Linked DNA regions of Lepisosteus oculatus. The protein of the gene in region 1 interacts with the protein of each later gene in a pairwise test. Links are inferred from orthologs where the notes say so. Each region holds a gene or a part of one and is shown on either strand. Other genes may lie near its edges. The genes, in order: atosb, kif20a and dnaja3a.

Region 1 (10,490 bases):
AATACACATTTACAGTATATAATGTTTTAATTTGCTTTGGATTGAGTGTGCCTATTGTACTATAGTCCTATTGTTTTTTGTTTGATGTGTATATAATGAAACCAAGATATGTTTATGTAGCACATCACATTGTGGGTTCTGACAATCACTGAACATTTATATTACTTTGGGGTCATAGGCTACTGCCTGCCAGACCAGCTGTGCTTGACAGATGATAAAGACTTGAGCACCACACAGTCTTGTTGCTCAGCCTCAGGTGCCTCTGTTACACAGCAAGATGAGGGTACAGCTGTAGTCCTGCACTGCTCAGCCAGCCTCTGCAGAAAAGGCTCAGCCTCCATTCCAGCAGGAAGCTTTAAACAGGATGAGCCTTTCTCTTATGTAACCATTCACATGGCATTTGTGGGGGAAGAATGTTTTTTTGTTGTTGCAGAAGATCTCAAGGTGAATAAGAGGAGGAGTCTGGACGATGTGATTATTAAAAAAAAAAAAGACTTGTCTGAAGACCCAGCCAGGGCTATGGTCAGGATTTGGCTGTGGACCACCCAAAGGATTTGGTAGCATATTCTAGTTCAGCATGTGGAGCGCTGATGGTAGATAGATGGTGAATACCACAAGCCAGCAAGTTCACATTCCCTAGTGGAGGCTGGGGGCCGTCAGACTGCAAGGGGAAGGTCAGACGTTTTAAAACTGCAGTCTGGTTGATGAGGACCAGCCGGGAGCCTCGGCTGATGTTTCCAGAGCTGGAAGATGGTGCAGGCCGGGGAGAAGGCCTGTGTGAAACGTTCTCAGTCCGAGCCTTTTTTAACTAATAAAACGCTTGACACACGCTTCTCTTCAGACAGCAGCAGCAGCAAAACCTCTTCAAATAAACACAGGCCTTCCATAAAATCTGCACCAGGAATCGTAAGACTTTGTTGAGAAGCTAGCGCTGTAGTAATACAGTTCCCCTGTGCCAAGTCGCTACCAGAGGACAGTGTACTGTTACTGCTTGTAGTACGCTGAGGTCTCTCCCTGTATACCTATTTATGGCTCGGTAACAGAAGTAATTGCATTTGGCGTTCCAGCAGCCCATCTCCCTTGAGCTGTTTCCCAGCAATTCCATGGAACTCTCCTTGCGACACCATCCAAAACAAAGACACCCTTGCTTCTGAAATCACCCTTGCGATTTCAAGAAGGCCAAAACATGTAGACAATAACGTAGCACAAGAATGGATGCTATAGTTTGGTATATCCTAGGAGGCCTTTTGTCCTCTACCCTAATTTCATGCTTCTAGTATTTAGTGTTAGTATTGTGTAAACATTCACTTTACAGAAGTACTGTATTTGTTTTTTTTCGGGGCATTGTGAAATGACCTATAGCCAAGGCTGAGATGCATACTGAAGAACACTGGAAGCCTGCACTCCAGGGTTCTACAGAATAATATAAGTTATACATTATACATTCAGACAGTCTTATACATTAAGGACACAATCACGTCATGTGGAGACTCGGTCTGCATGGCAGTATGATCATGGAGGTTTTCAGCTAAGCGTCTTGGGTAGACAGGCAAGATACTTGAAATAGGAAATAATAATGAACTTTATTTTATATAGTGCCTTTTAAAGGTGGCCTCTCAAAGTGCTTTACAGAATGACAGCAACCAAATTAAGAGGATGTGGGGGGTGTTATTTCCTGAGTATGGAAAATAATGGTTAGCCCCCTTTTCTCAGATGGTACTGTATTTTTTATGCAAACTCACTAGGTTACATCTGTGCATGTTTTTAAGCCAGCCATAATTAATCTATCCAGATGCGCAGAAGCAACCCAACTCAAAAGGCCAGAATGCAAGTGCTTTATGGGAACTGTGGATAGTGGAAAAGGTCCAAGGAGTTATATACAGTATATGAAAGCAGTCTGTGCTGAGACAGATGTGTTATCTGTATAGATACAGTAAATTAATCAGGGTTCTGTATGTGGTTGGTCTACTTTTCTGATAATGATCCTTGTTTTGCCTGATAAATATGGCCAGCCTTTCAAGCAGCAATTCATCAGCTCACCTCACAGGTCCTGCCTCAGTTCATTCCTTCCTAGTATAAGTCAGTGGGGGGAATCCATTGTAACCGATTGCACTTTAGCCCTTCATGCAAATTGGAGATAAATCTTTATCATTGGTGCATTCTTTCCAAAATTGAGATAATACAGCCCACTATACAGGTGCTAAAGGGAACGGAGCCCTGCCTTGAAAATGAATTTTTAATTTTGTAATAGTTTAATTGCGTGTAGCACTTAAGTTGAGTATAATTCTGAAAGCATCATATTTCACTCTGTAATCTCTTGTGTTCTGTCTTGTATACCCAGTAAGGTGTAAGGCCTTCCCAGTATTTCAGTTTAAAGGCCTATGCAGGCCTATGACCTAGTGCCTGAGTAAATTAGATTGTGATTTAGGTGTTTATTTTTGGTCACATGACATCCCTTTGGCCTGTAGTTTCCCCAGTTAAAAACCCTTAAACTCCACTATAAATACACCACAAAGTGAGCTGCATTTCACTTCACATCACCACTGCTGAGTGTTTTGCCTTCTCAGTCTGTCGGGCACAGTTTACAGGCAGCGCTGATCACTAATTCCAGAGCTCGAATTTCAGTTCCCGCAGTTCACCGGCGCGTTTACGATACGGCTGCACATTTCTTTTTGCCAACTGGTAAAAGAGACGTCCTGACACTCCATTCAAAGGAACAGAGAGGTATGTGGTTTACAGTAGTCAGAGCTGTAATAAAGGCAATAATGTTCAAATTCATTACTCTGGGAGAAGAGCTTAAGACTTCCTACGTTGGGATCTAGGAAAGAGGCAGTGATTGCTAATTTGAGTATTGAAGGGGGATGTCTCATCTTAAAATAATCGCTCAGTCTTATTGAAAGGTAAATCAGTGTGTATCCTCTTGTACCTCTCAGCCAGCCGCCTTGCAAGTCTCCCAGCTGTGGCTAAAAATATCCTATATCCTAGTCTTGAAGTTCAACCCCCATGGGTCCTTCCTCACCCCACCACTCACTCAAAAGGGGCTACTGGTGCTGGCTAGGCATGTCAGAGCCACTCAGTCTGCTCCCAGCTGTAGCTGTGGGCAAGGACCAGATCTGTGGTGGAGGATCCGTGTCTGTAGTGCAGAGAGAGCAGAGAGAAACAGGCCCCTGTCCTCACAGACACTGCCAGTGTGTAGCCGCCTGTGTCTGGCAGCCCTGACAACTAGAGCCCTCTGCTCAGGTGGGTTCTGTGTATAGGGCTGCTATTAGAAAATCATCACTATTAGGGGGAGGGAGTCCACGTTCACCCTTCTTCTCTCTAAAGACAGAGCTTTTTGATGCTGTGATCCCTGAGTATTCCTCTGGGAAGATGTGCTTTGTGCATGATTAGGAGTCTTCATCTGCAATTATATCAGAGGGGTGTAGTCTGGGGGGCACTGTGAATCAGAACCCTCTGTGTGTGCATGCCTATATTCACACACACAAAGACACAAACACATTCTTTCCAATCCGTTTTATTTGACAGCTGTGAATGTATTATGACAGCGTGCATATCCATAAAGGAAGATGCATGGTTTTTCTTTAACATGAAGACATGCCCTTGCTGACTTGTAGGCAAATTTTCTGAATTGTGCTCGTTAGTCATAACATCAATAAACTGCTGTTGCTAACAGCATTTGCAATTGTTAACATGCCTGGAGCACATTGACAGAACTGCAGTACCATGCAGAATTTCTTGCACTTTCCCTGTAGCTGTCATTTGAAAACACTGTGCAGTGCACATACAGTAATAAAAACAGCATTGGCTTCAGTCTGTCACTTTCATTACAACCTTTTCAATCCAATTAGATGCTTTCAGACGTCAATGTACATTTATTTCACATAGACAATAGCATACTAATTTAGAAATCTAAATTAGTATTTAGATTCCTTTTTCCGTGATCTTAAGGACAATATCCTCCTTAACAAGCTTTGGTCTAACTTAAATATACTAGTTAAATCATGTGAACTATTGTGGCAGAGGGTTTTTACTGTGTGTGTCATATTAAGAGACTGGAGTGCAGTAGAAATTGTGTCCTAGTTTTATGGTAAATAAAGCAAAAAAAATAATCATGTGCTCAAAGAAATATTGTTACAAATTCATATAATATCTACATTGCATTTAGTTTACCAGCATTTTTTCTTGTAAAAGGGGAGAAAAAAACAGAAAATTGCAAAATCAAAAAGAAACATGCAAGCTTACTTTAACTCTTAAACTAGAACGCTGAAAGATTTATGTGATGCATCACAACTTGTTGTTTTCTCATAAGGAAGAAACAGGATGCAGCTTAACGCAGTATAGCTCATTATGCTGTGAACTTCTGTATTTTCCCGTTTCATTTGGTACATCTTTTGGCTTAACCACACATGGATGCCCTTGAGCGCAAATGAATTTGTGCCTCTTAAATTCCTATTTAAGGATGCTATACTTGACTGTGATGGATAGCAGGCAATTGCTGTAATCTGCTGTACGGAGACGGTGAAATTGGTTTCTCAAACTGAATTTCAAAGCCAGGGTTTTTGCTGAACTGCTGATTTTCTGCATAGTGGAATCCACCCTATCTGTGCTTTTGTTTGTTTGTTTGTTTGTTTTTTCTTTATCCTACTAGAAAGGAGCGCTGGTGATATTATCACAGCTCTTGTAAATACAAACTTGGATATACAAACTTTGGTTAAATATTCACATTTTGCATTGATTAATCATTTTTTTCTTTTCTTGTGTTTTCGGCTGTAGTGTTGGATTTCCATCTCCTTTTTCATTGCAATTGTGACTTCTCTCTCCTTGCTCACACCCGCCACAGCAAATTTGTACATGGCCTCTTCACACACTTGGTATAAAACATGGAGGAAAACACAGGGACAAAAACGAGACCCTTTATTATTCCATGATGGAGACTAATATGTAGTGGAAAGCCGGTATGTCTTTCTGTTGGGGTCTTTAGCATCCTGACACAGGCTCTTATCTCAGAAATGTAGCAGCAAGAAGTCAGTTTAAGAGACTCGATGAAACCCTCTCGGATCAAATTCCAGGATGTTGCCTCACAACTCGCCGTGGAAAGATAATTCCAGGTGTTTTCATGCCAGTTAAGGGGATCCGGGCTCCAGGACTGGGGAGAAAACTGCAGGTGGATGGGTTACTATTGTGGAAGTCGACCTGTCCTCGTTTTGGCAGGCAGACCATGTCTTGTTTCTGAGTTGGAAGAACACAAAAGGCCTGTTGTCGCGGGGGCTGACTCTACCCCCCCCTCCCCTGGTCCCTGTCCAACCAGAGAGAGTAACTGCCACATGAGGCAGGCGTGCTGTCTGGAGACCGAGGAGCCCAAGGCACGCAACAACCTTTGCGGACTGAATTAATGGAGGACGGAAACAGAGCAGAGCCAGAGTGGGGCGCTGAGAACTGGAAGCGAGTGTGGCCTTAACGTTTAGAAATGAGATACCTGAAGGCACGTGGTTTTAGTCAGGTTCGTCACGCAGACTTTGTGTGTGTTTTGACGAAGAGGGAAAGGGTGAGGATGTTTCCTCGGGGATGAAGCCGAGGCAGTGGAACATACAGTAGGAAGGTTTAGAAGGTAGGATTGGTAGGCAGTGTGACCAAATGGCTAAAGCTCAAATGCAGACGCAGAGAAGCAGGGTTCCAGAGAATACACGAAGGCTCAGTGCGAAGTAGTTATAAGGAACAAGGAGGCTGCCTGACGGTTTTAACCCAACTGTTAATCAAGTCATTTCAGAATTGCTGTTCAACTTTGTCACACCCCGTGTGTTCTCTGCTACGGCACTTCTTGGGGGTTTTCTTATTAAAAAAAAAAAGTCTGCCGAGAAACTTCCATCCCCATGCGTGTTTTCACTCCTGTTTGTTGTTTTGATCCCAGGTGTTTCCACTGGAATGAGTGCCTAATTATGAGGCCAGAACACGGTGCCTACCGGCCTCATGCCCAGGCATCTGGAAGGACACTGCTGACTCTGAGGGGGAGGGAGTGGATGTGGGTGCCAGCTACCTGCTTCTTACCTGTCCTTTATACCGCCCCCAGACCTCAGTGATGCCTACCCCACGGTACGTGAGCTTGATTACCGGCTGCGGATCTCTACACTACTGGTACAGCGACTGTAGCCGTGTGCTCCTGCTCCTCCAGTCAGTCTTGCAGTCCTGCCGGTCCTGATCCCTCTGTGCTCCGCTCTGTCTTCCAGGGAGTGTGTCCCGGTGCTGTGCTGATCCTGCTGCCCCCCCGCCCCCCCCCCGCCCTGCGCCAGCCTGTCCTGGGATGGTGTTGTTGGCTCAGCCAGGACGCGCTGGCAGCTGTGGGGATGGACGGGCTCCGAGGGTAGTGGCAGGGGGCAGAACGGCGGTCCCAGGTGGCAGGAGGCACAGCAGAGACCGAACTAGGCAAGGAGGGGAGCACAGGAGGAGCGGTATGAGAACAAAGTGACCACACTTCGCCCTGAGGAGCCTACGATAACATCCACAGGGCCCTCAGATCAACCAGCAATATCTTATTGTACTGGCTTTAAACAAGAACAAGTCATATTAGGGTGTTTTATTAGTTTATTACAGCAGTTTACGCATTTGAATTTCTTGCATTTACAGTATTATGTAGCCACGCACTAAGAGTGCAGGAACTCAGTCGGCGTTACAGCTAGCAGTACAAACCAGGCAGATGAGGCGAAAAGAAGACTCGCCTATACTGGATTAATTTCAAGAAATACTGTAGTATTAATGTTTAGCAAACCAGAAAATACAGAAATGTTAACGGATATTACCAAAGATAAAATAACCAAAGCTGTGACATATCATACGACTGGACACAGATAAAGGCTTGTGCAGTACTATACAGGCAGTAATATTAATTTGTTCAAGATTTATGTATTAACTGAATGAAGGACACCTACAGAACAAGTACTATTAGGTAATCTGGGCCATTATAAAGAAAAACACAAATTTAAATCAAGGATAAGGTGGTGGTTATATGGACCGAAGGGTTAATTTTCACAAGGGTTCATGTAATATTACATAACTTAGGAGTGTAACTTGTCTTCCTGATCACACGGTGTAGATTCGTTTTTTGCTCTTTTGCAGGTACTGTGCTGCTATGCTCCCATAACAAAGTATCTCCACTGTGAGAAGTGACTCGCTGCTGACTCCTGGAATGGAGTAGTAGTCCTGAATCATTTTGCACATTAAATACTTGATTATCGTATACTATTTCTTACTTGATCTGGTGCACATAAAACAAACGAACGACACAATCAAACTGAAGGAACGATGAGACACATCCACGTGGAAATTGCACGGAAGGAGGCTCCGGTGGAGGTGGCTGCCCAGGAGGGGGACCTACCCCTCCCGAATGCCCAGAGGGGAGGCCTGGACTCGGGGTCAGGTCAAGGACTTCTCCGCCCGTTTGGGGAGAACGAGATCAAACTGCAAAAGGTGTACCAGCTGTCCATCTTCTCCCAGCTGGGGGGGTTCTCCGACACCGGAGGCCAACAGAAAGCTGAGAAGCAGGCTGTAAAGAGGGGCCTGGCAGATCCATACTCCGATCCCAAGCGATTGCTTTTGCCTGGGCACGGTGCGGACACCTGGCCTGACTCCCCCGGCATCCCCGACCTGCCCGGCCAAGAGTCCGAGCTAGGGCCCCCCCTGGAGTTGCTGCAAGACGAAAACGCAGTGGTGTGCGGCTCGGGCCAGCACTTCTCCCACACCGCCACATGTGTGATCGAGCACAAGGACTGCGCCTCGGGCAGAGAGTCGGGCCCGGCGGCGGGGAGGCGCTCTCTCCCTGTGCCTCTCGCCAGCCCGATGGCCAGACGCCTTTCAGAGCACAACCAGGACCGGCTGCTCCAGAGCAGGGAGGACTCGATCTCCCCCCAAAACCCGTACTCGTCTGCTGGCCGAACTCAAGACCCTGCACGGCTGTGTGATGCTTCTGCCTCGGCCAGCCTGCCAACAAGCGAGCTAGACCCAGCAGGAGAGCCGGGAGATGGCGTTCCCGCCCAGCGGAAGAGTGGGAACTCAGTGGCACAGGCCAACGGAGCCTTGCTGGAGGAGCAGGCGTTCAGCAATGGTGATCGCAGAGACTGGACACAGGTTCCTGCTTCCACAGCGGTGTCTCCGGGCAGAGATGTAGGCTCAGAGGTGAGTGTTGAGCTGTTGCCCCCAGAGCAAGGACACTCCACCAACGGCCTGGCCTCGGCGGAGAAGACGCCCTGCAGCTCCAGACGGCCAGGCCCTTCCTCCTCCTCCTCCCCCGGCCCCAGCAGCTGCCCCGCCAAGAGGAAGCTGCTGGCTCCCAGCGACACGGGCGAGTCCTGCTCCGAGGACGAGGGTCCCTCCACCTCCAAGAGGAGCCGCCTCTCTCTGCCCCACGGGGTCACCGTGTCCTGCCGGAGCACGGACGCCAAGGCCGCCCCCTTCTGGAACCACTTGCTGCCGTCAGCCCGGGATCGGCCCAAGGTGAGAGAACCTGGGCAGCTGCCCAGTGTTGGCCCTGTTGAAAAGAACTGAACTGTTCAGTCGAGGCTCTTACTAATTACAGCCAACAGCCATATCACCCTGCAACTCACAACTGGCAGCCCCACTGAAGCTCAGCAGGTGTGAGCCTGGTCAGTACCTGGATGGGAGACCTCCTGGGAAAAACTAAGGTTGCTGCTGGAAGAGGTGTTAGTGGGGCCAGCAGGAGGCGCTCATCCTGCAGTCTATGTGGGTCCTAATGCCCCGGTATAGCGATGGGGACACTGTACTGTAAAAAGGCACCGTCCTTCAGATGAGATGTAAAACCGAGGTCCTGACTCTCTGTGGCCAAGTTTCCCATTGTCCTTTATCAGTCACGGCCTCCTAATAATCCCCCTCTATGAATTGGCTTTATTACTCTGCTCTCCTCCCCACTGGTAGCTGAGGTGTGGTGAGCGTTCTGACGCACTATGGCTGCCGTCGCATCATCCAGGTGGGGCTGCACATTGGTGGTGGTGGAGGGGATCCCCATTCCTTTAAAGCACTTTGAGTGGAGTGTCCAGAACAAATGCTATTTAAGTGTAAGCAATTATTATGAACCCCTGTGCCTCTTATTGTATTTATATATTTGGCATTTCTAATATTATCAAGGGCCATTTTTTTTAAATGTAGTTTAAATCTCTCCAGTCACTCAGTGCTGTGAAATTGTAACTGAAAAATACAATTGAAATTGTAATTGAAATTGTAAATTGTAAATTGAGAGAATTCTCTCTTGTCTGCAATCAAGGTCATTGAGAACAACTCGTTTTCACCCTGCCATATGGTTACAGTCTTTTTGACATGTCTTTCCACAAATAATGTCAGTTGACTGTTTGCCACAAGGTTTACAAAGTCTAGAAATTAAACAGTTGTTTCTCAATGCATTCTTCACCTAGTTCAAAATGAGCTTTGTAACTTGACTACCCTTCCAAATTTAAATAAGCGTTTGTGTTCCTCATGTTCCATGTTACCACAATTCAGCTGAGGAATTTCCCCATTGGATAAGCTTCAAATCAAAATCCCATGTCGAGATACAAGGCACTTTAAAAAAACTGGATCCTTTGGATATGGGCATAATTGACTAACACTGGTTTGTGATTTGCTCTCAGTGGATTGGAGCTGTCTTGTAAAATATACATTTTTGCAAGACCTTAATTTAGGACTTTGCTACAGCTCAACTCTCTGCAGTTTGTGTGTTTTTGAATTCTTTATTTTACCAGATCACATTGGTTGAATTTAAAGGGTCAGGGGCTGACACAAGACTGATAAAAAAGTAAGAGTAAGATAAGATAAGATCACTTTATTGGCCATACACAATTTCTTGTATTAGGAATTTGTCTTTTTCACATACCCCTACTTGTTCTCCACGAAACACACAGACAGAGAGAAGCTTGGGGTCAGAGCGCAGGTCAGCCATTTATAAGGTGCCCCTGGAGCAGCTGGGGTTAAGGACCTTGCTCAGGGGCTCAACGGAGTAGGATTCCTCTGCCGGTCGCGGGATACGAACTGGCAACCTTCCGGCCACAGGCGCAGATCCTTAGCCACAGAGCCACCGCATCGCTCCTAGGAAGTAAAAAAAAAAAAAAGACATAAAAAGACATCTAGCCCACACAAAGACTGCACTCCAGCAATTCTAATATTGTGGATTTTCTGTAGGAGAGAATAGAGAGATTGAGCTAATGGGATGCAGAGTTTGAAAGGACCCTCAAAGGTGATTTGGAGGTGTATCATTGAGGGACTTTAGCAGCGCACGCTGCTCTTTGCAGTATCATGCTACATGGCAGGCTCTGAAACCCAGAATATAGACATGGGGTTATATAATAAAGGGTGGGCTTGAGAAGTTTAAATTCAGTAATATTTCCTTAGGTGATGCTGTGTAATATCAGTTACACAATGCATGTCCATAAAATGAGTCAAATCTGATCTTTGTCATTTGTAAAGTATGGTGAAGTGGGTACACCATGGGTACT
Region 2 (10,924 bases), on another chromosome or scaffold:
GATGTTGTGCTGTGGGACTCTCTCCTACCCTGGGCCATTGTGTGAGCCCCAGGACTTGATCAATATAGCACCCAGCCCTCAAGTTGCTCTTGCTCACTACAGGTGGGGTTTCGGTGGGGATCAGACACTTCTGCTCAAATGTTCACACTAGAACCTCCCTATCGGCGGTCAGCTGTACTCTACAGTTAGCAGATCTGTGCCACACTTGGTCAACACACAAGCCTGACTCATCTTCACAGAGGACTGAGCTCCTTGCATGCCCAGTCTACCTGAGGTTCAGCCTCCCAGAAACGAATGGCACGAACATGCTATTCTCTTGAAAACTGGGACATATTTGTTCACCAGGCGTGACATTCGACAGGCAGAATCACCCCCATTACCTGTGCCCAGTCCACTCCTCCACCCGTGAGGTCATTCAGAGCTCACACACCAGCCAGAGATCGGAGAGAGTGTATCATCAATTAAACAAAATGACAAACCTATCATTTAATCAATTTCCAAAATATGAATACTTTCTTTAAAAAAACACTGTCAAAAATGCTGTCTTTGTTTGATGCTACAGAGAGCAGCTCTGACAGGCCCTGTGAAGGCACTGATTATATACATAAAGATTACAGAAGAGATGATGGCCAGATCACTCACCCAGCCCGTTTGCTTGTAGTTACCTACCAAGCTATTGTAGTTACTCAGTAGAAATTTGATCTGACTATCCTATCCTACTCGTTCCACACCCTCATCCCCCTTTGTGTAAAGAAGTGCTTTCTGTTCTGACTGGAGAATCTCATCCAGCTGTTTCTTGTTAGAAAAGTGTATCAGCTTCAACTACGTTGCTTGGCAACTTGTTCCACACCCCCACTATCCTTTATTTAAAGAAGTGCCTCCTGTTTTCAATGCGCTTGCTGTAGTTTGCACTGGGGTCCTCCGGCTCGTGTTTCTCTACTCGTTAGGAACAGAAATGTTTGGACGGAGCCCGGATTTGGGATTATTCGGGATCCTGAAAGCATCACGACTGCCCCTATCCCACCTCCCCACACCACTCACCAGTCTGGGGCTGGTTGGCAACAGGCTGCCTTTCTTCAGCAGCTCGGAGAGCAGGGGCGAGGGGGGCGGGGTGACCTTCTGCCCCAGGACCTTCTTCTGCGGGGAGTCATCTAGGAGAGGCCCCAGGCTGGGCTCCAGGGGCCCGGGGCCTGCTGACTCTGTCAGGGGCATGAAGACCGGCGCCCCAGGGGTCTGTGGGGAGGGGCAGGGAGGCAGGATCAGCAGTTGTAATCATATCCGGAGACAGAATGCAAGAAGAGGAGGGGAAACAGGGAAAGAGAGAGGGGGCGCAGGCGAGAGAGACAGGGGGAAGGGGGCGGGGGACAGACTCACGCTGGCGCTGGCCTCCTCGGGGACCGGCTGGGGGGGGTCGGCCATGGGAAAGTCCAGGCCTGGGGAGCTGGAGCCCAGCGGAGAGCGAACCGTCACGCTGGGGACGCGCTTAGGGGTGTTCTTCACTGCCTGCCGGGCTGCAGACACAGACAGAGGTGGAGACAGGAGTCAGGGAGGGGAGGACCGAGCGCCTCCTATTCCACGGTGGCAGAGATCTGAGGACAGTTGGGGCAGGTGCTGGCTGGCAGGCCGGCCATCCCAATCCCGGTCCTGCTGGCCCACGTTCCTGCTGGCTCTCATTCCCGCCCGGCTTAATCACTTTCCTGAAGCTTCACTGAACCAACCAGACACTCGAGCAGAACGCTGGAAAGGCTTTTTTTTATATATGCAGTGTTTTCCCCCTTCACTTTTTCACACAGGGCCATGTAGGTTTGGATTTTTTTTTCCCCTTAATAATAATAACCTTCATTTAAAAACTGCATTTTGTGTTTACTTGTGTTATCTTTGTCTAATATTTCAATTTGTTTGATGATCTGAAACATTTCAGTGTGACAAACATGCAAAAAAAAAAGAAATCAGGAAGGGGACAAACACTTTTTCACACCACTGTATATATACTCGGAAGTTTGGGGTTTGATCTTACTTATGAAATGCAAAAGAGAAAATGAACTCTCCAGCATGTTTAAGGGTTGAACACGTTCAAGCGGTTTAATTTGATCCTAAGTCGACTAACGGTTCAGCTGAGCAACTGAGCGCTGGGCTGGAACGGAAACCAGCAGGGATGAGCTCTACATCTCCAGCAGGACCAGGACTGGGGTCCCCTGCTGTAGCAGGACCGACAGTGGGCGTGTCCCTGTACTGTACCCTGATAGGCTGCATCTGTGGCCTTCCGCTTCAGCTCCGCCTCTTCCTCGTCCTGTTTCTTCTTCCTGGAGGCGGGAACAGTAACCGCATCAGTGACGCCGCCACCGCCTGCCGACCGCGCCACAACCACAATCAAATCACAGACATCTCCTGAGCCAGACGCACAGGCAACGAGACCCAGGCAAGTACACAGAAGGACAGGCGGCCTTTCACAGACACTGGGAGATGGACAGACTCACAGGACGATCTCCCCCCACAGCTCCTCCAACTTGTTGTCCAGATGTCCAGCCTGGATTAGTTCTGCCTCCTTCTTCAGCTTCCTGCAGGGAGAGACGCAGTAAGAGTGGACTACAGTGAGGACCATCAGGTCACAACACAGCACAGCATACAGGGACACAGGTTAGAGTAACAGTACACAACAGCACAGGCTACCAGGACAATACTGTAGAAAACAGTGTAGAGTAATATTACACAACAGTTCAGGCTACCAGGACAATACTGTAGAAAACAGTGTAGAGTAACATTACACAATAGTTCAGATTACCAGGACAATACTGTAGGACACAGGATAGAGTAACAGGACAAAATAGTACCTGTGCAGTTCCTGAGTGTCTTTGATCAGCCTCTTGAGCTCATCTATCCTCTCTGCTGTCAGTCTGCGCACAATCACGTCCTCCACAGTCTCCACCACCTCACCCTTCTCTCCCCTCTTCCGCCTGAGAGAGACACAACATTACACAACACTCCTGCACTGTCTCCCCACCACCTCCCCCGAGACACAACACAACACCGCACTCTCTCTCCCTCACCCCACCCTGCTCACACCCGAGACACAACACAACAACAAGGCACTCTCTCTCCCTCACCCCACCCTGCTCACACCCGAGACACAACACAACAACACACTCTCTCTCCCTCACCCCACCCTTCTCACACACCAGACAACACAACACCGCACTCTCTCTCCCCCACCCCCACCTGCTCACACCCGAGACACAACACAACACAAGAACAAGGGATGGGGAGCTGCACTCACTTGGGCGTCTCTGTGGTCTCCAGCAGCTCCGAGTACTGGGAGGCACAGTGCTGAGAGAGACAGACAGGAAGGAGGAAAAACACACTACCGTCACGGCGCTGAAGAGGTCGAGGAAACACTGCAGGAGAACGAGCATCACTGTGTCTCCTACCTTCTGAGAGAACCAGTCCGGAGGGCGGCCTGCTTCTGCAAAGGGCTTGATGGCTCTGCTGACCGACACCCTGGCAGAGGGAGATGTATCTGTTACTGTGGAGTTAACTGTACCTGCCTTGTGAACACTGCGGCTGATCGGTCACGCCAGTGAAGCTCTTTGAATCTGATAGGCTGGGAGAGAGAGAGGATGAGGAGAGACATGGAGACGGACGGAGAGGAGAGGGGGGACAGCTGGAAATTGAGAGAATGAGAGGAGAGAGACGGGGACACAGGCAAAGGAGAGAGAAGGGAGAGGAGCAAGAGGGGACAGTTCTGGAGGGAAACTGTCTGGCAGCCATGAGCGCCAGACAGAGAGACAGGAAGAAAGAGCCCCTCTTACCAGTTCTGGTCTCCACTCCTCATCACAGACGAGGCCAAACACAGCTTCTCCCTCACAGACCAGGGCTCTGTGGGGCCCAGCGACATCAGCTTGTGCTCTGGAGAGAGTCGGGGAGAAGACAGGGGACAGGGCAGAGAGAAGATAGGAGAGGACAGGGGACAGGGCAGAGAGAAGATAGGAGAGGAGGGAGAGGACAGGGGACAGAGCAGAGAGGACACAGGAGAGGAGGGAGAGGACAGGGGACAGGGCAGAGAGGACACAGGAGAGGAGGGAGAGGACAGGGGACAGGGCAGAGAGAAGACAGGAGAGGAGGGAGAGCACAGGGCAGAGAGAAGACAGGAGAGGAGGGAGAGCACAGGGCAGAGAGAAGACAGGAGAGGAGGGAGAGGACAGGGGACAGGGCAGAGAGAAGACAGGAGAGGAGGGAGAGGACAGGGGACAGGGCAGAGAGTAAACAGGAGAGGAGGGAGCGGACAGGGGACAGAGCAGAGAGGAGACAGGAGAGGAGGGAAAGGACAGGGGGCAGAGAAGAGAGAAGACAGGAGAGGAGGAGACAGGGGACAGGGCAGAGAAATTATAGGAGAGGAGGGAGAGAGAGAAAGGTCATATTAAAACAGATAAACTGTATGTGTGAGCAAAATGACAGTCTCCCTCTCACTGTACCAGACACTGAAACCTGGCTCTTTAATCACAAAAGGAGTCACTGACGCTGAGGAAATGATAACAACTGTGCCACCATGCCGCCTGCTGAGAACAAACAGCCCGAGTCAAACCTGGTTCAGTCAGTTAAGAGTTGGATCGTGTACCTGAGGTCTGGCTGGAATAAAAGGCAGCAAGCGTTCGGGCTCCAGGAATATTCTCTACAGGACTGGGGACCACTGGTCTAAAAGATACTCAACCGGCCATGGCGAGAATATTTCTAAAGGATATTTACCCGGCTACCGATCATGGATAGTTAGTACTAACTGGTACTAAAAACGTGGGAAGTGTTCAGTAATAAACAAGAGATACGCGCACGCCTAGCGGTGTCGTAGGAAGTAACAGCCAGCCCCTATCAAGCGTTAGTACAGCTACCAGCGTGGTTTCTCTTAACTTTCTTTCAGGTTCAGACTCTGTATGACACACAGACCGAAAACTGAGACGCTCTCGTACACCCCGGGCCAAATCCTGAACTACAGTCTTTGTGTCTGCGTTACGTTACTCCTAATGTTACGTTAAAAACCGTCCGTTACCAGAATACCACTTATTTCTGGGGAAAGTCACGGTAACCTTACATAAGGAGTAAGGAGAAACATCCGTTCATCGCGCAGAACAGACACACAAAAACACAGAAACAACTCCAAAACACTGATAAAGGTACAAAGACACAATTAAAATATAAACAACACCTACTCCCTATGCCGCCCGCCATCTTGACTCCTTGCCCCTCCCACACCGCCACTGAGCACTTGCACTTCCAGGTCAAAGTGCTTTTCTAGCCCCGATGCTGCCTGGGAAATGAAGTCTTTGGCTTTGGAGGGACATGTACAGTATGACCAATTTATATATCGCTCATGGAAAATACACTTTATCTATAGAAATACAAATAAGGTGGGAATATTGTACTTTCTAAAGTCTTTGTTTCTGTAAACTGTACTGTTTACATTAGTTTATATACAGACTTCAGGGCCGGCCCAATAAGAAAGGGGGATTAGCTCAAATGGTAGAGCGCTCGCTTAGCATGCGAGAGGTAGCGGGATCGATGCCCGCATCCTCCAAAGACTTTTTCTGCACTGCAGTATCACCTATATTTGCATTTCTGGGGTGTTATATACTGTAATTCTGCAAAATCAACTGCATTCAACTTTCTACAGTATCATCCGTGTTCGCGTGTCTACACGATTATATATTTTACATTACTACCTATATTTGTTTCTATAATACTACATACTTCTAAGTTGTGTCCTATATTTGGATACCTCTGCCTATGTTAATCTGAGTTTACACTTTTAAACAGGCGTCTATTTGCAACCCCTAGTATCCCACAATCAAAGGCGCCTTTCCTAACACAACGGGCTGGGACAGACTTCGCCCGCAGATCAGCGCCATCAAGGCAAGACGCGGCCCAGAGGGGGGGCGACAACAGCGACTCCTGACGGCGATGCTGGGAAGTGCAAACTCCCGACCGGCCGACCCACGTGACCCGCTGTGCCCTGCGGCTCCTCAGCTGCCAACAATGCGCCGTTTGTGTGGGACAGGCGGTCCAGATGTTTATCAAATCGATGTGGGTTCACATCAATGCTTCTTTAGTACCGCCGAAGTGAATACTGTTCACATTTATTGTTCAGTCCCCGAGGGAAAGAGGTGCTTGCCCACACACTAAACGAATTTGCACGGCTGTCTAAAGATGGCATGCTGTTTAGATAATCTATTAGCACAGGAAGAATAACATATCTGTAAGGGGGCGAGAAACGCTGGCTTCTCTCGACTAAATTCACACAGCAGGTTTATTCAAGTAGATAAGTACAATATCTACTCATGTGGGAATAAAGCCGATGTGAACATGAATACGTAGCTCTTAGAGGCTACTCTGTAGCGATGCAAAGGAACAACTAAAGGTTTAAACGAGCACCCACCAGCTGCGGTAGATCGCCATGTTGGCTCAGCTCGCCACGGTGCTTCTTTTTTTGAGCCAACATGGAGCCAGTTTCCATTGGTCGCACTCTATTTCTCCTTCACAGAGGCACGCCGCCGCGCCCTTTCTCCGCCTGCGCCTTGGGCGAGGGTTCAGCGTGCCGTCCGATTGGCTGGAGCGGCGGCCCTCGCATTCCGAGCGCTGCCATTGGGCGGCTGCGGGCGGCACTCGGAAGGTGATTGGCTGTCCCTCCGGGGCGCGACGTTTGAATCGGTTTGCTGAGGGGCTGAACGCTGGTCCCAGAGTTCTTAGTTCAGCGCGGTTGTTAATTTAAGTTTAGTCGACAGAGGAAAGGGTTTATAGGACTTTTAATGTGCCTCTATTTAAACTTCTAGAGAGGACACTCAGTCAGAAGACGTCAGAACTTTACGGAAAAACCTGCGTTTGTATTTAAAGAAGGTTAGTGTTTTGTTTTGTCTTTGAACTAAATGAGGTTGCGTGTTTTCTCTCGATAGTGAATGTGGGTAATTTTCAGATTGAGGACACACCGCTCGAAGACATAAATGTCCTACACCCGATTGCTGTTACTGTATGAAGTATTACAACAGTAATTCGTCGGTCACGCCAATAAACTTCAGTAAATAAAAAAAAAGACCAAGAGAGCGAAACCTTAAAATCACTGCGGACAGTGTGGTCGTGTAAATTAATCTGTGGACCCCCCGACTGCGTGCGCTCTTTCTACCGTAAACAGACTTCCGACCTGGTAAGATACAGTTGCTATAAACACCCCAGTGTTCCTCTTATTTCTAAATTTGATGGTATATTGTGTTCTTACAGTTTTTATTGCATGACTTTTGTGAACTGACAAAAGAAAGCCCTGTATTGAAGAGGTTAGAGAATAAAATCGAGAGTATCAGACTGCGAGGCGGGCAAAAACCCTTTTTAAAAGGACGCGTGCGCCTGACCCCCCGTGTGCATGTTCTTCGCTTCTCGGCATTGAAATTGCCCCAGCCTGCTGGTCCGCAGAGAGAGGGTCGTGCGCGGTCTGAGTGGGTTGTCCACCCGCGGAACTGGTTTGAAACGGCCGGGTTCTCCACAGACTATCCCTGTATCTGTGCGGGTTTCCTTTCTCCGGGGGTGGGTGGGGGGGCGTGCTCGCCTGACTTGTTTATCCTCGTGAAAGTGAGCTTCACGCACAGGCTTGCAAATTAGGAACAAACTGCAGCACCGCAATACCAACACTGCTGTTAATTCCTGGACCCGGAGAGTCCCGGGTCCGATGCGGTTTTTCACTCCACACCGCGCTCTAAGACTTGATCTGAACCAGGGCTAACAAGCGAGAGGAGGGCCCGTCTGACCGCTTTGATCGATAGTAGCTAATTGATCCCGGGATCAGTGATCAGCTGTTTCTTGTAAAAAAAAAAAAACAGGGTATCGGCTTCCACAACGTAGCGGGACAGCTTGTACCACACTCCCACCACTCTTTGTGTACAGACGTGCCTCCTGTCCTGACTGGCTGGGCAGCTTGTTCTACGGCTCTCTTTGTGTAGAGGGGGTGTGGGAGAGCCTTGTGGGACGAGCTTGTCCCCTTGGAGTTTCTGTTTTTCCCCCTTGTCCAGCTCTCTCGCTGGGATTAGCAGTTACCTGTGGAATTTAGTGGACTGGCCCCATGTGGAATTTACCTCCACTGCTGAGAGAGAGGGAGGCAGCTCTGAAGCTGGTCTGTGTTCAGTGAGGCAGCCCTGTGCCCTGCAGGCTGCTGGCTCCTTCCAGACTTCTCTAACCACCTACCTGCACCTGACCCCTGTGACACTGTCCCAAGCCTCTAACTTGGCCCCTGCAGGGCCTTGCGCCCTCTGTAGTCCATTCATTAACCTAATTAACCTAAATTGGACACGGGAGTTTTCCTAAGGTTTTGAAAAGCTGATAGACGGACTGTAACAACAAGGAATTAAACTCGAGAACTCGGAGGATTCTTAAGATTTAGACAGCATTCGGGACTGGGCAAATACTTGTGAGTTCTGAAGAGCAGGGTTCTCGGTACAGATCCCTGTGGTGCTCCACTGATTACATCCGCCATCCTGAGTGTCCTGCCCATTGACCAGTTCCCAATCCCAACACATCCATGAATACCTGCTGCCAGCAGTGGGATTATGCCTCTACCGAGACCCCATGTATCCCATGCTGGATGCTGTCTGTTACTGTTGTAGCTCTGCCCGGCTGAACAAGACCCACCTTTTCTGAGAGTCTCGCAGAGACGATTGTCTGGTGTAGTTGTAGTAGGTGTTAACATTGATCTGAAGCGTAGATCAGATTGACTTGCCTCCGTTTTTTGCCCTTTCTGTGCCTGAGCGACTATTTGGAAGAGTTCTGCTAATTGCCTACGGAGAATCGGGTCTCTCGCCTCCTTATGTGCTACTGCTAGAACACAAACAGGACCCAGTAAACAATAGAAGCTCGGAGTTTGAGCCAGTGGTTTAGAGCTATTTTTCTGGACTGATGCTTTGCTATTATTCCTATTTGTTGGAGCGAAACTTGTTAGCGTGAGACTTGTACTGCTGTGCACTGGGAGTGTGACTGACAGCACTGTAAAGCCTGGAGTGATTAGCTTTATTGTAAAATCATCACTGGCTGTCTGCTCTGTTGTTATACTGCTGATTTTCATTTATTTGAAAAAAGCTTCAGTCTCCCTGCTGTTTGTGGGTATATGGACCAGTGTGTGTCCGTTCAGTGGGCAGTGGCTGCAGGTGTAGGGGGCTCAGGGACCGAGGGGGGTGTGAGTGGGTGTGGGTGTGTGTCGGTTCAGTGGGCAGTGGCTGCAGGTGTAGGGGGCTCAGGGACCGAGGGGGGTGTGAGTGGGTGTGGGTGTGCGTCCCTTCAGTGGGCAGTGGCTGCAGGTGTAGTGGGTCTGGGAGATGGTGGGGTGTCACCCCTCTAACCTGAGGCTGTCTGCTGCTTTCGCAGTGGTTGTCATGGCGACGTATGGGGCCTCACCGCGCGGCCTGCTGTCGGACGAGGAGGAGGCTGCGGTGTTCGAGTCGACGGCGGCCGAGACCGGCGGCGGGCAGAGAGGGGGTCATCGCCTCGCCGAGCTGTCAGTCATCTCCCCTGGAGCGGACGCCCCCACGCCGGTGAGACAGGCGACGGGGCAGCGCAGGCGGAGCCGTGCTGGGATATCAAACCCCTCGCAGCGTGTGCAAGCTCTCCTGCTCTCGTGTGAACTCTCCCTCTCTCGCACACTCACATCACGCTCTCTTGCTCTAGTGTGAACTCTCACTCTCTCGCACACCCGCATCACGCTCTCTTGCTCTCGTGTGAACTCTCCCTCTCTCTTGCTCCTGGGCGTGCTCTCTCGCACACTCACAGCACACTCTCCTGCTCTCGTGTGAACTCTCCCTCTCTCTTGCTCCTGGGCGTGCTCTCTCGCACACTCACAGCACGCTCCTGCTCTCGTGTGAACTCTCCCTCTCTCTTGCTCCTGGGCGTGCTCTCTCGCACACTCACAGCACGCTCCTGCTCTCGTGTGAGCTCTCCCTCTCTCTTGCACCTGGGCCTGCTCTCTCGCACACTCACAGCACGCTCTCCTGCTCTCGTGTGAACTCTCCCTCTCTCTTGCTCCTGGGCGTGCTCTCTCGCACACTCACAGCACGCTCTCCTGCTCTCATGTGAACTCTCCCTCTCTCTTGCTCCTGGGCGTGCTCTCTCGCACACTCACAGCATGCTCTCCTGCTCTTGTGTGAACTCTCCCTCTCTCTTGCTCCTGGGCGTGCTCTCTCGCACACTCACAGCACGCTCTCCTGCTCTCGTGTGAGCTCTCCCTCTCTCTTCCTCCTGGGCCTGCTCTCTCGCACACTCACAGCACGCTCTCCTGCTCTCGTGTGAGCTCTCCTTCTCTCTTGCACCTGGGCGTGCTCTCTCGCACACTCACAGCACGCTCTCGTGTGAACTCTCCCTCTCTCTTGCACCTGGGCGTGCTCTCTCGCACACTCACAGCACGCTCTCCTGCTCTCGTGTGAACTCTCCCTCTCTCTTGCTCCTGGGCACGCTCTCCTGCTCTCGTGCGCTCTCTCGCACACTCGTGGTGTATGCGGTTTTGCTTTCCCCTCTCACCTGCACTCGCTCTACTGTGCGTGCACTCTCTCCGGCATGCTTGCGGCACGCACACACACTCTCCCCCCACTCTCTTGCTCCTGGGCATGCTCCCAGCTCCTCATCTCACGCGCTCTTTCTCTCCCTCTCTCTAATCCTGACACCAGTGTTAGCCAGCCATGTGCCAGACGGAAAGTAAAAGTGCAAACGGACGAACTTCGTTGCTGTTATGAGTTTTGGTCAATTGCACTCAAAAATGCAAAGCGATTTAGTCATCGTCATTGCGGGCTATTGTCATGAGCCTCTCAACTTCGTTAACTAAAACCAAAAAACAGGTTGTCAGGGAACTTTTTCGTCTAGATTTCCATCGACTAAATTAACACACACACACACACACACACACACACACACACAC
Region 3 (10,900 bases), on another chromosome or scaffold:
CCCTCGTATCGGTACGATGGAGAAAAAAGGTCGCTTCTGTGAAAATGTGCACCGTCCTGGAGGCGATCAGACTCAGAATCTAGTGGTGGATGCTGGCGTGTATATATACTGTTTAAGTGAGGGTTCTCATGAAAGGTGTGGACCTGGCAATGCTGCGTGGGCGGACGTTAGAATAAGCGCCCGCAGGACACAGCCTGGCAGGAAGGCGCTCACCGGCAGTGGGTGCCAGGCGTGCGTTCGGAGGTGCTCACCATGCCAGTGCCGTTGCAGTAGTGGCAGTGCTGCAGCTTGGTGCCCGGCTCGTTGCCCTTGCCGTCACAGCGCTGGCACGAATCCTCAATGTTGACGGAGATCTCCTTGTTCACCCCCTTGGCCGCCTGGGTGAACGTCAGCTCCATGACGTACTGGGGGAGGAGAAACGGCAACTCAATTCGGCCCCCTCCCAAGATGTGATGATCCGAAGCCTCTGGCGGCGCGGAGTCGGAGACGCAGGGTCTCTCCTCCGCGAGGTACGCACCTCCTGGGGCTGCTCGAAGATGGAGTTGAAGTTCCCGAAGCTGGAGCCGGAGAACTCCCCGAAGATCTTGCGGAAGAGCTCCTCGGGGTCCATGCTGGTCCCGCCGCGCCAGTACTGCTGGCTGCCCGCTCCCGCCTGCCCTGGGTCGAACCCGGCTGCGCCGTAGGTGTCGTACTGCTTCCTCTTCACGTCGTCACTCAGCACCTGCGCGCAGACGGGGGGTCCGTGAGGAGGAGGAGGAGGAGCAGCGAGCTGGAGCCTTCCTCTCCCTCCTGCTCCTGGACTCCCGCGCAGCTGAGCTCTTTATCCAGCTCAACCGGCTTGCGGTCCTGCTGTTACCTTTCTAAGCCTTCTGCCTGCCTGGAGGCTGGCGGCTCACTTATTTCTTTATGGAGCGCGACAGTAAATCGGCTTCCTCCTGCCCGTGACCCTCGCGGGTTGAAAACGGCGAAGGAGGTCGAATTCGTCGCTACAACTTAGCAAGCGCAGCACGTCTATACTTCTCCAGGAACGGGAACCCAAAGTTTAGAAACCAGACCGAAGAGTCCCCTTTCCATGGAGATCCAGAAGCTTAAAATGTAGAAAGAAGCAACCTGCTCGAGCACAGAAAAAGTTGACGGGTGGTTAAACTGTTATGAAATGAATATGTAAAAATGGGCAACCCTGGCCCGAGCTTGCGTAGCTTTAAATCACTCAAAAATACACCCGAGAAGTGGAGACGTAGGTCTGTTTTCTCAAACTTACCTCATAAGCTTCCGCCAGCTGGGCAAACTTCTCCTTGGCCTGGGGGTCATCCTTGTTTGTGTCAGGATGGTACTTCTTAGCAAGCTGAGGGGAAAAGGCTTCAGTTTAGTCTCCAGGGGCCCTTTGCCCCCCTCTCGCGTTCCAGTCGCAGGGACAACAATTTACTTTATTTAAACAAACGCCTCAGAGTCTCTGCTGAACACCGACATCCAATGCCTGTCCCTGCCGAGTCAGTTCAGCACTGAAGGAACATTAAACACAGGACTTTCTTCTTACTGGTCTGTAGGCTTCGCCTTCTGTTTCCGGTCATGGCATAGAACAAGAACCTTTAATAAACAGTTTTATCGGTTTCTTATTTAAGAAATAACAAAGGGTACAGGCTTTCACAGAAATTCTACAGCAGCTCTCGTCATCTTTCCTGCGTCTGCAGTCTCTCGAGCTGTAGCCACGTCTCTCACCTGGTAATAAGCCTTTTTGATCTCCTTCTGCGTGGCCGACCGGGACACCCCCAGCACTTGGTAGTAGTCCTGCTTGTTTGACGCAGAGGCGCTGGTGTGGAAGGCGGGGGCAGGGATGACACTGGGGCTCCTCACTCCTGTATGGGCACGTGGAGACCCGGCTTAACAGTTGGGGTCTGAGCTCTGCCAGGGGGCACAGGCAGACTACAGCACCACAGCCCAGGGAGGCAGCAGGCCAGAACCTCCCGTGAGTACAGTCTCCCTGGGAACTCAGAACTAGAGTGCTGTACTTTTTAAAGAGCAAATCAACATATGACAGCACTCTCGGTATTAAACTGGAATATTCCTTTCCAAACCATACTCCATGTGCAGCTGCAAGACTGCATAATATTATTGCAAGACTGAAATAATAAAGGACATCGCTAGCTGCCTGAACCCCATGATGTCGAACTGCTTAAAGATAAACTGCTTGTTGATAAAGCCAGAGATCAACTGTCATCAGTGCAACTTTTGTAAGCAGACTCTCACTGGTTACTGCAAGGATCCACAGACGTCAGGCATTTAAAGCACCATACAATATAACAGAATCCAGAAAGTATTCGTACATCTCTCCAATCCACAAGAAGACGAGATCAATGCTGCTTTCTGAACTGCACTAAAGAAAGTTCCAAACGTTGCTTCTCTGACATCAGAGTGCACTGATTCTTGATATCTTTCCTGATCTCCAGTTAGGCTTAGAAAGAAAAGAAACGTAGCACTCCGTTACTGAGTGTACTGTATGTGTCAAGAGAAATCAGCCATGCAGGACTGTGTACCGATTTCATGATTGACTTTGTTGCATAAGCACTAATAAACTCACATTAGTGGGAGAGCTGAGCAGAAACAGGTCAAGGGGTGATCCCAACCCACCGATTGTGAAGAAAGAAAATTACAGAAAGGAACTGCAACGCCCCAGTTATAAAAATAACCTCTATATATTGAGGCGCCTTCACATCCTCATGCTGCGTGTGAAACATGGGCTTTCTGGCAAGATGAGAATAGGACATGGTGTCTTGTGGGTATTCTACTGGCCTGAGCCCCACTGGATGAGGTAGGGAGACCTAAGGCATTTGGAGGCCCAGGGACAGACACAAGCTCACAGGATCTATGAGGGGAAAAGGGCAAAATCCAATTGCAATGTATTGCAGAGAACGAATCCCAGATGTACAGCTTGTACTGTTTCCAGCTGTGGCTCCAGACACTATTACACTGTGACCTAACACAAGACCAAATGGTGATCAATTCTACTGAAAGCAACTTGTTAATTATGGCACTTCTGTTCACCGAAATCTCAGTACTCCACCTACTAAAAAGAAACTGCTAACTTTGTCAATATATTGCATATATAAGTCATGACTCTGCTGAATATCAGTTTATACAAACAGCAGGCTCTTGCAACAAATGAATCTGATAATCACAATGAAAAGTGTTTATTTTGGTAATACTTTCAAATACTGGCCAATCCAGTCTGGACTCCTTATGGATCTAACTGTTAATCAACATTTGGTACAAGAATAACCAGAGGAAGCAAGTAGCCTATGAGATATATTCAAAAAATATATCTTGTTTTAAAAGTTTAGCAATGTCAGCTGCTACCTGCTCAAAGTCTAGCAATGTCAGCTATTTGTCGTTTTTATCCCAATCACACCTAGAAGATTTGGAACTGAACACAAAGGGCGTTTCGGTAAGATGCGTCCATTTGACGCTTTCTCGAATACTGTCGCAACTAGTCTTCAAAGGTAAACAGATTGAAACCTCCATATGATCAACATTTACATATAGCTCAAGTCACCACGATAACTGTAATTATATCTTCCGCACTAGTCTTCAAAGACTTTTTCTGCAAAAAGGGGGTTTATGAATTACGAGCGACACATGCCTATGGGTGCCTTTTGTCACAGTTTGTTTCTGCGGTAATTTTTCCCTTCCTGCTCTTAAATCTCCACAGCCGGAAGCATGGCACACAAAGTAGCGACCATGCTGCCAGTCAAGGTCAGCTGCTGGAGCGGAGGAAGTTTCTGGTAGCCGAAGAGAGCACACCTGCGATCTAAGATCAACACGAAAAGTGCTGCTTCTTGCATGAAGTACGGACGTCAAACAGAAAATATATGCAATTTACGATCATGTCATCCAGAGGTACTTTGTGTCACGCCGTTACGTCTCTTTCGTAATGCCGGTAGAGACGTCAAGGGAAGCACGCGTGTAGTCTAGACATATCACACATTTCACTACAATATTGACAACGCAATGAAAGAAATACGCTAGCTGTTAATTACACAGCCCCCAAACCCTGCGCAACTGTAATGTACATTGCAAGAGTTCAGGATATAGGCATTCCGGCTCGTCTCATTACCTGCTAATGCTCTCAATGTCAGGACGTGGCCGGGCCCTCCGCCGCCCCCGGGACGATACTGCGATGCACTCAAGGCAGGAACGGGACGCAATGTCTCCGTATGGGCGCGGGCGAACCGCGAGCAGCCCCGACGCTGCCCGGCGGAGACGGCCACGAAGATCCAGCGTGAGGAGCACCGGACCGCAGGAGACGCCATCATCATGTACCAGGACTGACAGAGGCAGCGCAAAGCGCATGGCCGGGAAAAGCAACGGGCCGCGCATGCGCGGAGCTGGGCGAGCATGCGCAGTCCAAACGCAGGGGACATTCCCAGCGCGAACATGTCACATGATAGGGGTGAGGGTGGACTTCAGACTCTTCAAGAAAAATAAAAAAACGCTTCAATAATTATTTTAAAAACACGAACTGCCTCTGCTACATGGTTTTAAACTTTAACGTTAGATTCCATGTATTATTTATTTAATTTTAGAAGGTTGCTAGCTTTTTAAAATCAATGCACTTAAATGTTTTCTTTTCCCCTAAATCAGGTACGAGTTTCCCCAGCAGTGCAGAGACTCATCTCCGACAAATACGTCCAGAGGGGCCCAAAAACAAAAAGAAAACCTTCTCCCCAAGTCGTGTAGTAATATGCAAAATAAACTCCCAGTTGCGAGCTGTGACTGAGAGAGCCTTTAATCCCAAGGGGGCAATTTGTTCAGCATCAGTTGGGCGTCTGCTGGCCACCCGTTTTACACCTCTCAGATTTTTTAAAAGGAGGGTTACTTACAGTAATTAAACATAAACTTTGTTAAATTTAGCAGTATTGTAAAACATCACCACTCGTTTCAAATTGCGCACCATACATGCTAAGTAGCAAGAGAAGTCTGAAATCGCAAAATGCCCCCAGTACAATCTGAGGTTTGCAGCAATGTCACTAGCTCGAGGTGGGGGGTCAGACAAGACAGCATCAGCCGCTCCCGTTCGCATCGATCGCCGAGTGAATCGCTGCAAGAGACAATCGACCGGCACTGTTGTGCTGTCAGTGCAGCTGCTGAGCGTGTGTGCGCGTCTGCAGAGACGGGGAAGGAGTGGGACAGATAGCAAACGGGTCACTGGCGTTGAGCAGGACGGCGAAGGAGAAAGGAGAAGGATGAACCGCTTCAAAATCTCCAAATTCAAGAACACCACCCCAAAAATCCCCAAGAAAGACGTAAGTCGGCGAGGGTTGGGTTTTGCAGTGAATGGGGGGAGAGACGTGTGCTGGCATTTCAACTTCCTGAATACTGCTCTCGCAAAGCTGTCCCGGAGTCATCATTTTTCAAGCACTCGTTCAAATTCAGATTGAAATGTACGCTGGTTTTAGAAGAAGGCTTCCAGACGGCCGCTTGCACTGCAGGTTTTAATTAAAGGATGGGATTCGCCTCTTTTTATTTTTCCGTCTGTGCATGACAGTTTTTTTTTGCTCTAATTTGAATGAAGGTTTGGTAAAAACTAAAACCTGGGAGGTTGTAAACGCTCACGTTACACGGAAAAATAATTTCCGTCCAGACGTGATTTGTGTTTTAAATTGCATGTGCAAATAAGACTGCTCTTTAAGAAAACAGAACAACGCTTCATTTCTACCGCGCGGTATGTTTAATCGTTTCTAAAAGTTTAGATAGACTGAAATATTGTTTACAGCTGTGAATGATTTAATGCAAATATATGTAAAACACGATGCTCAATTACCTCGACTTTTTTTTTAAAAGTCATACCAGGATGTGTGTTAAGGTAGCGTGCATGAACAAGCTGTGCTCGGAGCGAACCTGAATTTATTAATTACTGTTCTAGCCTTGACAAGCACGATAGAAAGTCAAAATAATCGTAATTCGCCCATTCTGCCATTTGCTACCCTATCGCGCTCTTCCTGGTGTGTAAAATCTAATGAGTAGCTACTAGGTCAGCTCCGACGCAATCCAAATGTTTTGCATAATTTTCAAAGAAAGTGGTTGATTCATTGTTGATCTGTTTACGGGGAGGGAATTCATCTACAGATACGTCTGTGCAATAGAGTGTCGACTTCAACTTTTTGACGAGAGAGGTTATCTTCCTAGCGACCTTCACACGTGCTGGAATATAGGCTCTGCTGAAGGTGTGAAATGATCCCGGGCACTACTCTGTGTTCCGTGCGTGGGCACAGCGAGATCACAGGTAATTTCTAGCCCCGGGCAAAGGAAGTCACCAGTTTCGAGATATTCCTTGGGCGAGGTTTTGTTTTGGCCAGATTGACGGTGAGTGGTGGAATCTGAAGTCAGGAAGGTGTGGCTTTTCCCACGCACAACCGAGATACACTATATCGCTGTCGTTTCTGATTGAGTGGTTTGGAAGCTTTCAGAGGAAGCCTCACCTGGAGTGCATTGCAGGCACACGTGTTCCACTTTGTGCTTGTGAATTCCACCGCACGTTTCTACTCAAGAGTAAAACCGAGGTGCTCTTCTAAAGCTGATGAGTTTTAGATATGGGGAGTCCTCAGTCGTGGAAAACTTCTTCTTGAAGCATCCATCCATATATCAGGACAGGGTTATTAATTGGTATAATGTGCATATCGTTGTGTAATAGCGACCCCTGTGGTTGGGGGGAGGGAGCTGCAGGACTGAGCTGCATTCAAACGGGCTAAGAACTCATCCCCACTTATACTCGGCTTTCCTACTTTGCAAACGTAGTTCACCTTTGAATGTCTCAAACCTTTGAAGCTTATATTGTGGACCTATCCCATTATGATGTTTTAAACCAATGGTATGAATGAGACCCAATAATTTTGCATTGATAACGTGCTGGAGGATGCTGGACTTTTTAACCATGTCTCCATTCTTTCTGTAAATTGAGTTGAAGAGCTTATTGGCAAATATCTTCAGTTTTCATAGACAGCCCTGAGGCAGAGACTGAACAACGGTTGTTGATCTACCAAAACGTGTACGAAAGAAGTGGACACCTGAGGAAGGCTCCACAGTCGAAACACGGTGTCTCTTTTCTTTTCCTTTCAGCCTGGAATAAACCTCTCCCTGCTCCTCTGCCGCCTTCGCATGCTGCTGCAGCTGCTTACTAAAAGAAGTCACACACTTCTGCCTCTGGTTTTCATCACGCGCCCTGCTGTTAAAGTTTAATTGAATTAACTGTTTTGACGGGCCGTCAGGCGTGATGGTTTTCCAGTCTGTCCAACAGTGATGCTTTGTCTCCTGTCCAGTCTGCACGCAGAGGCTAAGATTCATATTCAGTGGAAGTGTCCCCTGCTTACCCACGGGGAACAAAAAAATCCTTCAGGGATTTCCTGTTCCAGGTGGGACTGACAGATAACATGTATTTCAGTGCTCTGCTGTCCGTGCTCTCTTCTGCTAAGAACCTCGGCGTCCGTCTTCAGCCCCGGCCTCTCCTACCCAACACGTTTCTCTGGGATGATCTTGTCTTCTTCCCTCTTGAGCAGCAGTCTCAAGACCCCTCCTTACTGGCTGTCCCACACAGCTGCTCACCCAGGCCCTGGTGCTGTGCTTTTGAAGATGGTTTCTCGTTTGAGGTTTTTTGCATTTGCAGGGTCTGTTAAATCCTACCACAAGAACACAAATAAGGTGGAGACTGTTTAGTTCACAGAATGGACTATTAGTAGCTGCGACAGCTATGTTCTGTTGTAGTTCTGTCTGTGTAAGGCTCAGAAAGTTGAGGAGTGACATTTCTTGGTATAGCCAAGGGTTCTAGTAATAGGGGTGACACATTTTTAAAATATCGTTTTGGGATGTGCTGTTGCCTTTGGTGTACATCCCTCAGAAAGGATGGGATTCCACTCTGTTTACAGAAAGAGCAGCACGGTTACTACAGTCAAATGCAATGAGAAAGGGGTTCAGCTCTGTCCTATTTAGAGATGATTAACAAGGCAATATATTGCTCCCCTTCAGTTTGCCCGTGCTATTATGACGCACAAGTGTGGGCTAACCTATCTTTTTGTATATTTTTGGAGTGGAATTTCAGACTTATTTCTTTGTGTTCCAGGACAGAGTCAGTCCCCGCCCTGTTGTTAGTAGGGCACAAATACATTGGCTGTATGTCGCCTTTACAGAGGCTGGTACAATAGTGTTGATTTGTGGATTACAGTGATTTGTTTGTAGAGGCTGTTGGCATTCAGTCCCATGTGTGGGAGCTTCTGTACTGCAGCCTCTGGCAAAGATGTAGATTTGTAATTGCGTTAAGAGCCTCTAGCAAGAAAGCTGCGCCTCAGAACAATGTGAGCACATCTCTTGCCTAGAAATTTAGCGGAGGAGTTAGTTTTCAACGTTTTCCAGCTGCCACTTGAGCTGGATTTCCGGGATGGTCCTGCTTTCCTTGTCCCCTGAGGCATGTGTAGCCGCAGCCAGTGTAGCTGTGCCGGTCCAGAACATCAGTGGCCTCCAATGACACCCCAAAACCAGGGAGATGCACAGACTCGCCAAAACCACCATCTTCATATCTGGTCCTGGAGACCTGCAGGTTTTTTTTAGGTAACTAAAAATGCTCCGTAACTAAAGGTTTGGAAACCCAGGTAAGTTGGATCAGATAATTCAATAACTGATTCGATAAACTCATTAAGAGCGCAGGTGGATTGAAAAGCAGCAGGGCCTGCAGGTGTCCAGGTTGAGGAGTGAGTGTCACAGGACTAATACAGTCCAGTCGTGAGGAGTGTCCACTGTGTGAGCAGAGGTCATCCCTGCAGCACAGGAAGCTAGAAATCCCCCTGTAGAGCCCAGATTCTTTTGAATAAATGTCCTCAACCACTGGAAACTTCCTGTTTCACCATGGGCTCCCTTGCAAGCTATAGCTCAGGGGTTCGCAGACCTGCTCTGGCAAGTGTGTCCAGTTAAACAATAATTAGCTCATGCAGTGTGGACTGTAAACCTAGCGACACGACGTCCCTCCGGGACCAGCACAGGGATTCCCTGCTCAGGATAAAAGCCTGGATGGAAGTTCGTATTCTGATTGAGCCACTGGGGAATCTTGGACACGTTTTTAAATGATTTGCAGCGCAGTGCCAGAGTTTCGGAGACTTCCACAGCATTGTGCACATCACTGTAGTACAGGGCGAGCTGCCAAGCTGAGTCCATTGCAGCCACTCTCCAGAATCCCTCTGTCTCCAGCCAGCTGTGGAGCAAATAGAAGCAAAGAGCTCACAGCCAAAAAGAAGTAAACTGGCCCTGGCAGCAAATGCAGTCTATCTTTGGGCTGTGGGCACTGTGCATTCCCCAGCAGGTTATTTCTTGTTTAACTGTAGAAAATGCTTTATAAATTCACTGTGAGACTTCCCGTTACTAGAACAACTGTGCTGTATTTTTAAGGCCTCCTTCTGTTTGGTCATACAAAGGCTTTACAGAAATGGAGGCTGTGCTGTGTCTGTTTCAGGATGCCTGTTGGCAGCTGTGACACAAATCAGTCACCTGCCGGTGATCGATAATAGCCCCACGACGCTAAGAGCCCCTCCGGTTGGCTTGGAGCCCTCAAGGCCCTGGCTCCTCAGCAGGCGCGCTCCGCTCGGGGCGCGCCGCAGGGCTCCACTTCCTCTATTGCCGCTGAGCCGAGGAGCGGCTGAGGCTGCGTTCGCTCTCTGCTTCCTGTCGAGGTGCGGCCGCCCCCCCCCTGTTTCCTGAGCGAGGCACAGGGCAGTATCCGCAGAGCTCTGAACCGAGCCAGGCGGGATCCCTCTGAGAGCTCAGCTGTCTTGTGCGGTTTCTGCCCTGCGGGTCTAGGGACACCAGTCGGGGAGAGGAGGAGGAGGAGGAGGGGAGGGGGGTAGGGGGGTCTTTTCCATTCTGCGGCAGGAAGCGGACACCCATTGCAGAGCGTTTTGATCCAGTTCGGTTTACACACCAGTCCCCCTTTTGCTATACTGATGTAGCAGCAACACATGCCCGTTTATCTTTAAAGATGTTATCTTCCTAGCAAAAGTTGTTTCCCTGTCTGCTCAGGTTTTATTTACATATCCGTTAATAGTCTGAAATGAGTAGCTGTCTGGTGTTGGCCAGTATCCAGGAGACCACAGCTTGTGACACCTTATGACTTCGAACTGCTCTGCAATGGTGGGGAGTTCTGCTTTCATCCCCGTTGCCTCATTGTTCATCAGTTGCTCAATGCAAACGTTCTGACATTCCTTTCTCTGGTTACCTCTTTGTCATCCATCACTTAATTCTTCCTTCCATCTTTTTTTTACTGTAAACATAACATTGCAGAATGAACACTAATTCTTTTTCTCTGTCTGACTATTACACTTGTAATGACACTTCATCAGCTCGCCAGGGGCTCAAAGTCGCTGCTTTCCCTGTCTCGCGCGTTGTCACTTTCTTTGACTACAGGCGTGTACCTCTGTCTCTATCTGTGTTGTACTCAGGCTTTCCGAGTCTAGCGCAAAAAGTCTGAATGCTAAGAACTCTCGAGCTGTGCTTACAGGGGTGGGACCATTATCAAGCAAAAAACTTAGAAGTGATTCGAGAGAAGGGAGCTTGTCTCTGACGGCGAATTGCGTAGTCGTTAAATCATGCCTGACAGTGATTTTCATCCTGTTGGTATTCAAATGAAATGCAGATCTGAAATACACGAACTTTTCCGCATGTTTGCCTAAGTGTGTTGCAATTATGGAAATGGGTGGCTCCATGGAAACCATGAAGAGCTTATTTGAGTTTCCTTAATCTTTGTCGTTGATATTTGGAAATCTGTAATTATGAGCTGTTCACTTTTAGCTGACAGTCTATCAGAAACCCAGGACATTCAGCACAATGTTCTCCATCAGGAACAATCAGTTCTTTTTTTTTTTTTCCT

What was found.
Region 2: the proteins of atosb (region 1) and kif20a interact in binary tests that used the Homo sapiens proteins (3 or more experiments, as listed by UniProt). The two-hybrid records come from large-scale screens. The link is inferred for Lepisosteus oculatus from reciprocal best matches to the Homo sapiens genes ATOSB and KIF20A.
Region 3: the proteins of atosb (region 1) and dnaja3a interact in binary tests that used the Homo sapiens proteins (3 or more experiments, as listed by UniProt). The link is inferred for Lepisosteus oculatus from reciprocal best matches to the Homo sapiens genes ATOSB and DNAJA3.

Annotation. Positions count from the first base shown.
Region 1 is NC_090698.1:67,317,772-67,328,261, reverse strand, and holds the start of atosb (atos homolog protein B), read left to right. Parts: upstream 1-6,229; 5' UTR 6,230-6,446; intron 6,447-7,110; 5' UTR 7,111-7,296; coding exon 7,297-8,484; intron 8,485-10,490. UniProt on the Homo sapiens protein: Transcription regulator that may syncronize transcriptional and translational programs.
Region 2 is NC_090706.1:29,597,134-29,608,057, reverse strand, and holds the start of kif20a (kinesin-like protein KIF20A), read left to right. Parts: upstream 1-6,711; 5' UTR 6,712-6,879; intron 6,880-6,901; exon of another isoform or gene 6,902-7,183; intron 7,184-9,384; 5' UTR 9,385-9,392; coding exon 9,393-9,551; intron 9,552-10,924. Other genes in the region: bromodomain-containing protein 8, read right to left, coding at 1,042-1,233, 1,375-1,511, 2,239-2,303, 2,478-2,558, 2,832-2,954, 3,275-3,324, 3,426-3,495, 3,807-3,903 and 1 more. UniProt on the Homo sapiens protein: Mitotic kinesin required for chromosome passenger complex (CPC)-mediated cytokinesis. Following phosphorylation by PLK1, involved in recruitment of PLK1 to the central spindle. Interacts with guanosine triphosphate (GTP)-bound forms of RAB6A and RAB6B.
Region 3 is NC_090714.1:3,738,416-3,749,315, forward strand, and holds the start of dnaja3a (dnaJ heat shock protein family (Hsp40) member A3a), read right to left. Parts: upstream 4,421-10,900; 5' UTR 4,419-4,420; coding exon 4,112-4,418; intron 1,857-4,111; coding exon 1,720-1,856; intron 1,346-1,719; coding exon 1,262-1,345; intron 722-1,261; coding exon 518-721; intron 405-517; coding exon 252-404; intron 1-251. Other genes in the region: coro7 (coronin-7), read left to right, coding at 5,019-5,300. UniProt on the Homo sapiens protein: Modulates apoptotic signal transduction or effector structures within the mitochondrial matrix. Affect cytochrome C release from the mitochondria and caspase 3 activation, but not caspase 8 activation.